Linked DNA regions of Ovis aries. The protein of the gene in region 1 purifies or fractionates together with the protein of each later gene. This does not show direct contact. Links are inferred from orthologs where the notes say so. Each region holds a gene or a part of one and is shown in the gene's direction. Other genes may lie near its edges.

Evidence for each region.
Region 2: the proteins of SMURF2 (region 1) and SMAD4 purify together in Homo sapiens (affinity purification with western blotting; 3 studies listed by BioGRID). This does not show direct contact. The link is inferred for Ovis aries from reciprocal best matches to the Homo sapiens genes SMURF2 and SMAD4.
Region 3: the proteins of SMURF2 (region 1) and TGFBR1 purify together in Homo sapiens (affinity purification with western blotting; 8 studies listed by BioGRID). This does not show direct contact. The link is inferred for Ovis aries from reciprocal best matches to the Homo sapiens genes SMURF2 and TGFBR1.

The regions. Positions count from the first base shown.
Region 1 is NC_056064.1:48,570,318-48,574,069, reverse strand, and holds the start of SMURF2 (E3 ubiquitin-protein ligase SMURF2), read left to right. Parts: upstream 1-1,182; 5' UTR 1,183-1,652; coding exon 1,653-1,704; intron 1,705-3,752. UniProt on the Homo sapiens protein: E3 ubiquitin-protein ligase which accepts ubiquitin from an E2 ubiquitin-conjugating enzyme in the form of a thioester and then directly transfers the ubiquitin to targeted substrates.
Region 2 is NC_056076.1:50,874,348-50,877,999, forward strand, and holds part of SMAD4 (mothers against decapentaplegic homolog 4), read left to right. Parts: intron 1-153; coding exon 154-366; intron 367-3,652. UniProt on the Homo sapiens protein: In muscle physiology, plays a central role in the balance between atrophy and hypertrophy. When recruited by MSTN, promotes atrophy response via phosphorylated SMAD2/4.
Region 3 is NC_056055.1:48,711,185-48,714,836, reverse strand, and holds part of TGFBR1 (TGF-beta receptor type-1), read left to right. Parts: intron 1-3,239; coding exon 3,240-3,365; 3' UTR 3,366-3,652. UniProt on the Homo sapiens protein: Transmembrane serine/threonine kinase forming with the TGF-beta type II serine/threonine kinase receptor, TGFBR2, the non-promiscuous receptor for the TGF-beta cytokines TGFB1, TGFB2 and TGFB3.

The DNA.
Region 1 (3,752 bases):
CTGAGAGACTTTCACTTCACTTCACTTCACCCAGATTGATGAGAAGTTCTTGGAGGTAACTTGATCTGGAGAATTAAATGACATTATTGATGAATTAAAAGAGACAAATGACACAGGATTAAAATATATCAGATTTTATTAAACATTTAAAATTGCAATAGTAGTAGCCTTAAGCAAAACAGCACACACAAAAAATCCTCCATGTACACTTTTGCATGCATAGATACCACTTTTTATTCTGCTTTTAAACTTTGATTATTTATAAACTCTTCCATATTATACGATCTTCGTAATTGCCACTTAAATGGGGGCATTAAAACCTATGCGGTTGATGTAATGAAATTCGCCATTAGACTGTCAGCTCGTCTCCCTTTTGTTATTAACCGAATTTTGCAAGAACATCTTTTGTACTATTATATCAAGAATAAATTCCTGAGTGCAATTACAGGGTCAAAGGGTAAGGTACATTTATTTTTATTTCATTTTCTATTTTTTTCCTCCTGAGATAACAAAATACAGCCCTGTACGAAGAGCTTTCATACATTGCTCTCAAAGGCTTATCTTGTTAATTATCCTTTAAGGCATTATCATCCGCCTATCCCTGCGCTACAGTTGAAAAAAAGAGCCCAAGCAGGCTGGTAACCTGATCTCGTTCACCAGGTGAGTCCTGGATGGAGGTGGAAACTACGCTACCAGGAGCAAAATACCCTTAGGGATTTGCCGGAACCCTCGGTGTGGGAAGAGCCTCTCCTGCCTCACTCCAGCCGAGGCTCAATCCGGACCGCAGCAGGTTCGGTTCTAACCGCTGGCCCCTGCCTCTCAGAGAAGCGCCCTGCACGCGGTGGGCGTCTAATAAAGGCAGCCTGTATTTCGCGGACAAAAGCTCTCCCTTAAGCGGGTTGAACTCCAGGCCCTCCTGGCACCACAGAGGTCGGCGCCGCCACCCAGATCCTTTGCCCGCTCCTTCCTCAAGTTCTGCGTGGGACAGCAGGGCTCACCAGCCCGGACCGCCGCGCCCAGGCCGAAGCCAGGCCTGACGCCTCCGCCCCCCCTCGGTGCTCCGCGCGCTGCCGCCCAGGCCCCGCCCCCGGCCCCTCCCCGCCTCGTCGGCCCCGCCCCCGTCTCCACCCCGCCCCCCGGAGCCGCTGAGTGGCGGCGGCGGCCCCAGGACCGGGTTTCCTCAGACAAGAGGGCGGGTGGAGGAGGAAGCGGCCGAGCCCAGAATCCTGCTCCGGCGCCGCCGAGCACCGCCCGCCACAACCGCCCGGCCCCGTCGGCTCCTGGGCCTCACCGAGCCGAGAAGAGGGAACGGCAGAGGAGGCTGCGTGGAGGCGGCGGGGGCGCGGGCGGAGGCGGCGCGGCCGGCCGCGGCTGCCGCTTTGTTGTGCGGCCCGGGCCAAGGAAAGAGAAGTGGGAGGAGGGGGGAGCTCGGCGTCCCGCTCCCTCCGCGGCTCATGGCGACGACGCTCGGCACATCCGGGACCCTCCGGCCGTGGCGGCCGCGGCGCCGGCTGCTCGGGCCCCAGCCCCGGCCGCTGTGGTGACTGCGCCGCGCCTCACCGTCGCCCCCGCCCCGCCCGCCGCCCGCCGGCCCCGGGCCCCGGGCCCCGCGCCGCGGCCGCAGCCCCGCCGCCGCCCCCGCCGCCGGGGACATGTCTAACCCCGGGGGCCGGAGGAACGGGCCCGTCAAGCTGCGCCTGACAGGTGAGGGGGTTGGGCGGGCGGCGGGAGCCAGGCCGGGGCGGCGGCGGGGTGGGCGAGCCGGCGGGGGGTGCCTGTGGCCTTGAGAAGGGCCAGGGTCGCGATCAATGGTGAGTGGGAGGTCGGGGACGTGGGAAGGCCTAGTTCAGGGAGAGTAACTGCAAAACCAGTCTCCCTCGTTGGGAGATTCTTAGAAAAGCCAAGGGTGACTCGGGGGTCTTTTGTTGTTGTTGTTGGGGGGGGGGTCCCCCCGTTGGAATTCCAGGCGGATTTGAGGTCGAAAAGCCTTGGCCGAGAAGCACGACTCTCTCCCGGGGCGTCGGGGAGCAGCCCTTGGGCTGCTGCCCAGGTGGGGTCGTGGAGGGGATGAGGAGCTCCTGTGGCGGGGATTATTGAATCCGGCTGCTGACTGCGCGCAGTAAACACTCCTTAAAGATGGAGCGCTTAACGGGAGGGTGTGTGTGTGTGTTCCCCGGTTGTTAACTTGTTCGCCCACTTATGCCCGCGTGCAAAACCTTCCCTCTCGGCTGCCAGGCGCAGCCGTCGGTTCCACACACCTGAAACGCACGACTTTATAGGGAAGGAGACCGAGGTTGACTTTTCCGGTGTGTCTGCCTGATCCGACGACTCGCGCTCATTGTACCCTCTGTGTTTTGGAAGTGTTTGATTGTAGGGTAGTATGTTTGGGGTTGTTCCTTGTAGGCCGCAGAACTTGTGTCTCGCTTCTAACTCTAGACCTGCTTTAAAAACACACTTTTTTTGAGTCCCTTTCTAAGTTTGTGCTCAAACGGACTTTGAAGCAGAGTTTTTCTCTCTCTCCCCACTCTCCTCCCCTTCCTTTTTCTAAATGGAAAAGAATGTCTGGAGGGGTTGCTGGATAGCAGGCTTTTCTTACGAAGTGTTTATGATCCCAGGTGTGTTAGATCTTTAGTGTTACAAGTACATTTTTGATCTTACATGGTCGTTTTACCCCATTTTAGGGAAAAATTATTTGGAGTTTGAAACGTGTAAATGAAACCATTGTAATTCTGGCTTCATTATTCGCTATTAATAAATTATGCAGGTTGATATTCGGATATGTGGCGAGAAAGATGACTTTCCTTAGAGAATGTGTGTGTGTGTGTGGGTGCGTGTGTAAGAATAAACTGTAATTATGTTTGTCTCCACTAGACTTTGAGATTTATATGGACTAATTTTGTAATTGAATGCTTGTCTGTTACATCCCAGTCCACTGGCTGAACTTTCGAGATAAAAACTTGCAGTGAATTAGGTATTCGAGAATTTAGCCTGACTGTATGTTGGCAGCAATTTTTAAAATATATTACTTTCATGACAGTTTTACTTTCTCTAGAGAATATTGCAAAGAATCATTAACTGAGTGGTTCTTAATGGAAAACCTGGATTGGGGGATGCCTGTCTCCCCTACTTCCCCCCATTCAGTTTCCTTATTTTCTTAATCAATGGAAACCTTTGTAAGGGACCTTTGTCGTAGAGTTTATCTACTGCTGTTCCTCTGTGGAGTCAGTCTTGTGTCAGTGATCATGGAAAGAACCTGTGATTCCAGGTGTGCAAAAGGCATCAGAAATAGCCTGGTGGCCACTTAATTCCTTCTAGGTTATATACACGATGAGAGCATGAGGGAGAAAACAGGGCTCTTGACTTTTTGCAGATAAAATGAGTTTGAGGTTTTTAATGTGATTCAGAAGATCTTGAAGTGTTTATCTGTGGTTTTCTTCCTACATATGATACATTATAAAAATTCATGAGTAAAGTTAGGAGAAAAGATTACACTTATTTTTGAAGGGATAGGGAATACTGGGCTAAATCTATAGAGTAATTTTGTATTTTTAGATTTTTCTGAGGAATTTTAAATACACTTTGTCCCCTTAATTGTAAAAACAGTTTTAGATACTCTCAGTTTCTTAAAACCATTGGGAATTTGTCTCTGTCATATTTTAAGAGAAAACTATTTAACTATTAAAAACTTCGCCTTCTTCCTTTTGGTTACGAATGGTAGAAGTCCCTTCTGTTTTGCCAGGAAGGTTAATATG
Region 2 (3,652 bases), on another chromosome or scaffold:
TTTGCTGATAAAGTAGAATGCTTTTAAAGTAGTATGAGAAAATTCTGAGTTACACTCTAGTTGACTTTAGGTGTTCTTATGTTACTTACAAGATTTTTTTTCCTGGGAATAAAAGCTTACAAGATTTTAAAATATGTTTGTTTTTCTGTGTAGCTCCACCAAGTATGTTGGTGAAGGATGAATATGTTCATGACTTTGAGGGACAGCCATCATTATCCACTGAAGGGCATTCAATTCAAACCATCCAGCATCCACCAAGTAATCGTGCATCGACGGAGACATACAGCACCCCAGCTCTCTTAGCTCCATCTGAGTCTAATGCTACCAGCACCACCAATTTTCCCAACATTCCTGTGGCTTCCACAAGTGAGTTGTAGAGTCAGATATAGTCAGCAAGATGAATTTTCCTAACAATTGAATATTTATAGGTAGTCACTTGGAGGGGACGTCCGAGTAAGTGAATATTAAAAGTACTGTGGTTATCTTTCATGGGTTAACAAGCATCAGATAGGTTTTTGAGTTGTCCTGGAAAAAAAAAATATTTGTAATTTTAAAAAGTTTAAATGTATCTTAATGTAACAGAACATAAACCGTCTTATGTTGATGTATAGTCCCTTGGAATTTAAATAATGCTTTAAATTAGTGGTCTAATTTGTACTTTATTACATGCAGAAGAAGTCTATTGAGCTTTCACATAAATTTTAGAGAAATGTTTAAGTAGAGAACAAATAGTTTTGAACCAAGATATTTATAGAAATCTGTATTAATGGAATTGCAAACTTTCCTCTAATCAGTGTTTTTATTTTGCTTTATCTGGCAGATTACTTTATAATCGTCATCTCAGTCTCCAGTTGTACAAGCTTATTAGAAAAAAGGACCTTGACAAATTTATTTGTAACATATGACCCTCAGGATAGATGTTAAGTGTTCTAGTCAGTTTTGAAATAAAGCTAAATTATATGTATCTTTTTTTTTTCCTAACAAGAAGTGTATTTTAAAAAGATTCTTGGGATCGTATGTACACCCGTGGTGGATTCATGTCAATGTATGGCAAAACCAATACAGTATTGTAAAGTAAAATAAAGTAAAAATAAAAATTAAAAAAAAAAAAAAGAAAAGATTCTTTCCAGTTTAGAGGTACTGCCTTCTCTGCTGTGTCATGGAAGCAGAGGGCTATTAGGTTCAGCTTTTCTTGGGGCCTGGTCAAGGCAATAATGACCTTATGTTGGACAGTGGAGTGGCCTTTTTTTTTTTTTTAAAAAAAAGAGTACAGTTGCTTTACGGTGCTGTGTCAGTTCCTGCTGTATAGCAGAGTGAGTCAGCCACATGTATGTCTGTCTTTTTTCTTGGATTTGCTTCCCACTGAAGTCACCATAGAGCACCGAGTAGAGGCCCCTGTGCTGCGCAGTAGGTTCTCACTAGTTAGCAGCTTCATGCATCGCAGTGCATGTGTGTCAGTCCCGGTCTCCCAGTGCGTCCCCACCCTGCATCGCTCCTGTTTTATTTTTAATTACTCACAGAACAGGGTCTTGGCATTTGTATTACTGTGTTATTTGTACATCAGTGCTAAGGAGATTGTATCTCAGCCCACAACAGCAGTAAATTATTGATGCATCTGGACTGATACTTTGTATATTGATATCAAAGGAAGCATATTCTATTTATTTTAATATCAGATCAAGTTCAACATAGAAATTTGATCTTTGGAACAAATGAAGGATTTATTTCTACAGTTGAATTTCAGATAAAGTACACCAAATTTCCCCCGCTTTATTTTACCTTTTCAAATAATATCCTTTGTATTTCCTACACAAGATGACAGTCTTCATACAGACAGCATATTCCAAATAGGTTGGACCATATAGGTTAAACACATACTTTAGAGCCTGAACCTTTAATCACTTGGTGCTTCTGTTATCTCTGTATTAACCAGTTTGGGAATATAGTTGATAAACGAGTGGGTGGGGAAGGAAAATAAAAGAAGGTGCATTATAGCCACTTGAGCATAGATTAATGCCACTTACCTCTATTGATACTATCTGAGGATTGAATTGGCATGCCTTTGTTGATGATTGCTCATGCAACTTCATTTTAACCATTAATGTTACTGGGACCAAGTCCTAGTCAAGATCAGAAAAAGTGGTATAAATGAAATATGGGTAATTTTGTCTTGGTGTTTTTTGGATGTATTTTCACAATGAGTAGTAATTAACTGTAAGTTTTAGAATTTGTTGCAGAATGTTCCCTTAGATCTTAAAAGATATATTGATAAAATTAGAAAAAGGAAATGACTAAAATAGAGGAATTAAAAGACTTCATGAGTTGTTTTAATTTCATTTTATGTTCTTGGAATTGTGTAATGAAAGTATTCAGTATAGATAACTGTAGTGGGCGTTATGTTCAATTGGAACCTGAATATCTACAGGGATTCTTTCTAAATTAAGATAGTTCAAATTCTCCTGCATAGTGACAATTTTTGTAAGATAGCTAAGAGTATATAACATGTACAGTTGTTAAAAACAAGAGGAAATATGCAATTAACCTTCAAAGATTACCTGTAAAAATTTGAGGGGGATGAGTAAGAAGGGAGGTTGCTGAAAATATCATCTTTAAAAATAAATACTTTAGGGAGTATTGAAATAGTCTTTTTAGCTTTTAATTATATAATCTTAGCCTTACAGAAATCTGATTTGTAGCAGGAAGAAAAGTTTTCTTTTTTCTTGATACTTTGAGCTGTTCGTTGCATATTTGGGCAATGGTGTCATTTACTCCCTTCTATCTGATTATACTCCTATATGGTTGAGAAAAGATTAAGGTAATGCCAGTAACAATAATTATGGAATTTTAGTGCTTTCCAAGTGAGATGCACAGTTGACTTAATACTTGCTTGAAAAAATTTAGCCTTTTTCACACAAAAGATACAGCCTTAAAAATGTAAGCAATTTCATAGAATGGTTTTAAATAGAATAGTTCTCCTGTTTTATTACATACAGAGAGGGCAACTAATTTCTTGTAAATCCAGGAATATGATAGTGTTCTTAGAGGCAATTCTTGATATTTAAAAGTACATGAGAAAATATCACAATAGACTGATTTTTTTTTTTTTTTGGTTTATTTATTAAAACTCGCAGATGCTGCGTTAACCGGACAGTGGAGCTTACCTTTTTTCCTCTTAACTTTCTCACCTTACCATTACATTCCATTTAAAATACTTGTCTGCTCTGCTTTTTTATTGAACTTTAGCATTCTGCTATTGCTACCATTGCTGATAATAATGAGCTTTCCAATTTTCAACATTTCCTTGAGCCTGGACATTTGGAATCCTAACAGAAAGATGCAAAAGCTAGATGGAGTGGCTGTGGGTGAGCTAATGTACTTCTGAAGAAGTTATTAAAATAGGCTAGACCTGTACTGGGGTTTTGCTGGCATTTGGAGAATATTTATGAAGAATGGGCCACTAAAATTAGCTAGATATTAGAATAATTTTGAACTTCTTCAGGTTAAGGTTTGCCTTTATAGATGACTGCAGGGTTTTTTATTTGGTAGGCCATGGGTGACTTCACTCTTTGCTCATCTTTATAGTTGTGACTTTCAGGTATAAAATCCTTCATTTACTGTGTAAAGCCATAGGATTGCATCTACAAATGTACCA
Region 3 (3,652 bases), on another chromosome or scaffold:
GGATGAACCTCAAGCTGGAATCAAGACTGCTGGGAGAAATACCAATAACCTCAGATAGGCAGATGATACCACCCTAATGACAGAAAGTGAAGAGGAACTAAAGAGCCTCTTGTTGAAGGTGAAAGAGGAGAGTGAAGAGGCTGGCTTAAAACTCAACATACAGAAAACTAAGATCATGCATCCAGGATCATCACTTCATGGCAAATAGGTGGGGAAAAAATGGAACAGTGAAAGACTATTTTCTTGGGCTCAAAAATCACTGAATGGTGACTGCAGTCATGAAATTAATAAAGATGCTTGCTCTTTGGAAGAAAAGCTATAACAAACCTAGACAACATATTTAAAACAGAGGTATCACTTTGCCAACACAGGTCTGTATAGTCAAAACTATGGTTTTTCCAGTAGTCATGTATGGATGTGAGAGTTGGACCATAGAAGCCTGAGTGCCTAAGAATTTATGGTTCCGAACTGTGGTGCTGAAGAGTCCCTTGGACAACAAGGAGATCAAACCAAGTCAACCCTAAAGGAAATCAACCCTGAATTTTCATTGGAAGGGCTGGTGCTGAAGCTCCAATACTTTGGCCACCTGATGTGAAGAGCTGACTCATTGGAAAAGACCCTGATGCTGGGAAAGATTGAGGGCAGGAGAAGCAGGTGACAGAGGATGCGATGGTTGGATGGCATCATTGACTCAATGGACATGAATTTGAGCAAACTCTGGGAGATAGTGAAGGACAGGGAAGCTTGGCGTGCTGCATTCCATGGAGTCAGAAAGAGTCAGACACAACTGAGTTAACAACCATTATTATGATACTATTATAATATTGGTAAAACAAAGCATTTCCCTTTGGAGTTGATGTTTTGTAGTATAGGAAGAATAAAAAGCTGTTCACTTAAGTAGTTTATTTTACATCTTAAAAGTAGGACACAACTGAAGCGACTTAGCAGCAGCAGACTTCATTAGATACTTGTGAGATCAAGAGAGTTCCTTGGCTGCCTCCAATGAAATCCAGTATGCAGGCCCAGACAAAATATATTGTGTGCTCACAGAACCTGCATGTTTAACAAATGAAATTGGCCTAGATTTTGTCTTTGAAAAATTTCATCTTGACACTACAAACTGGAATTATTCATGCACTCATTCAATAAGCAAATTAGAGCAAATTAATATTAAACAGATGGCTAATTAAGCATGAAGTTAGTAGTTAACATTAAAAACATACATGCAAGTTGCAATTACTGTCGCAGCATGTTGAATTAATGCCATCACTGTCATTTTAGATTTTCTCTCGATTTAGCTAGTTTTGTATCACTAACTTAATCTTTCACTTTTCTTGGGTTTTACAAATCTCCCCTCAGTAGCTGAAACACATTGAGAATTTGAAACTGATAGGATGCCTACGGAAGTGTTTTTCAGAGCCCTCTGACCTTTTCCAGTCTGAAAAGCCAGTCTGGCTCTAGGCCAGCTTTCATCTTGGGATATCCCTCACCTTTCACCTGTGATCTCTCTTGCCTCTTCTGTGGTGACTGCCTTTCTGAATCCCATGTCTTCACATTTCTTGGTTTGCTCATTTATCCCCCTCTTCCAGCTCTTTGCTCAGATGTTACCTTGTCAGTGAGACGTTACCTGTCAATCTATTTAAAATAGCACTTTCCCCCCCCCCTGGCATATTTTATCTCCTTCCCTAAATGATGTTTCTCCTCAGCACTTAGCACGGACAGTCCATGCATTCTGCTTATTTATTATATGCTCTAGCCCTCTATAACGTAAGCTTTATGAGAGCAGAAATGTCGTCTGTTAGTTCACTGCTGTGTCTGTTAGTGTATCCTACCAGATGCATGTAGGATGGCATCTGGATTATGGCACTCAGTTTGCTGGATGATTTTATGCATGTCCTGAACCCTTGGTCATTTTTACCTGAAAACAAATGTTCATTTCTAGGAAATTTTCCTCAAGTATTCCCTTCCATTTTCCGTTCTTTTTCTTCAACTCTGGTTATGAATGTAGACATCCTGAACAGGCATTCTGATTTTCTTGTGTTTTTCTTCCTATTACCCATCTCTTTGTTTTCTTTTCTCTACTTTCTGGGAAAGGAATCCGCCTATATCTTTTGGTCTTATTATTATCACTCAGGTTTATCTTGTGGTTTCATAAAACTTTCCCCAAACCAAACAAAACCCCAAAAAAGTATTGATAAGTCCAGTATCAGTAATCTCTGAAGATATTAATGATGGATTGTTGATATTGTCTTCTATACACCTTTTGGTTTTTCCAAGGTGTTGTTTTCTGTGTCAGTTTCTGCATTTCATATTACTTTCCTGAAATGTTTGATCAAGCTCATGCTCTGTATAAAAGCAGCACTGAAAGCTGATAGGAAGCTTTGTGCACGTGAATGGAGCTTATCTTCCACTGCAGTCTAAGGGTGAAGTAACTGGATTGCTTCCTTGGGGAACCACTGATGTCTCTCTTTAGGCTTTTCTTCTTGGGCTGAAGACTCTTCTGGTCTCTTACCTGGAGGACCATGTAAAGTCACTGGCCGTGTTCTGGGGAGAAAGTTTACTGTCTTAGCATTTAGTGTGTTGTCAGTGTGGAATTTTGCCCTTATTTCCCCAAGACGGGAATCTGTTCTGCTCTCTCAGATTGAAACCTCTTGTCTTCTGTTCGGATGGGGTGGGATGGTCACCCAGCTGTGTGAAGTTGGGGCAGGGCAGGTATCTGGGTTTCCAGCTTCTTTGGCTGATTCTATTTTTACCCTGAACTTCACCCCAGGGATACAGGATATAAGTTAATTCCTCAGTTTTGGGGGCCATTTCATGTGAGTCAGGTTCTCTTTGCTTTGCACAGCTCTTTTGAGGATTCAGGTTTCTCAGGCTGCCAAGTAAATCCTCCTTTGTCCATCTGCTTTCCAGCTGCTGGCACCAGTATCCTGCTGATGGGAATTTAGGTCATCTTTACTCATTTGCTATTACAAATAATGCTGAAACAGAAATACTTGTATGTCGTTTAAAAAGAAAATTTACAGGTAGATGAGATGGCTGGATGGCATCACCGACTCGATGGATGTGAGTTTGAGTGAACTCCGGGAGATGGTGATGGACAGGGAGGCCTGGCGTGCTGCGATTCATGGGGTTGCAAAGAGTCGGACACGACTGAGCAACTGAACTGAACTGAAAGATTATTATCCAGGTCGTTGAAACATGGTGCATGCATTAATGATCTTTCTTTTCTTTTCTTGTAGGCCTTGAGAGTAATGGCTAAAATTATGAGAGAATGTTGGTATGCCAATGGAGCAGCTAGGCTTACAGCTTTGCGGATTAAGAAAACATTGTCACAACTCAGTCAGCAAGAAGGCATCAAAATGTAAATTCTGTGGCTTTGCCTGAACTCTACTTCTTCTTCAGATCTGCTCCTGGGTTTTAATTTGGGAGGTCAGTTGTTCTACCTCACTGAGAGGGAACAGAAGGATATTGCTTCCTTTTATGACGATGTAACAAGGTGAACTAAAACATCCCAGGATTTCTTCAGACCCAGGAAACTGCCATGTGGGGTCCTTTCTGTGCACTATGAACGCTTCTTTCCCAGGACAGTTACAAAATGTTGTGTAGTCTACCTTTATTTTTTATTAACACAGAACTTGTTTTTTTAAATGAT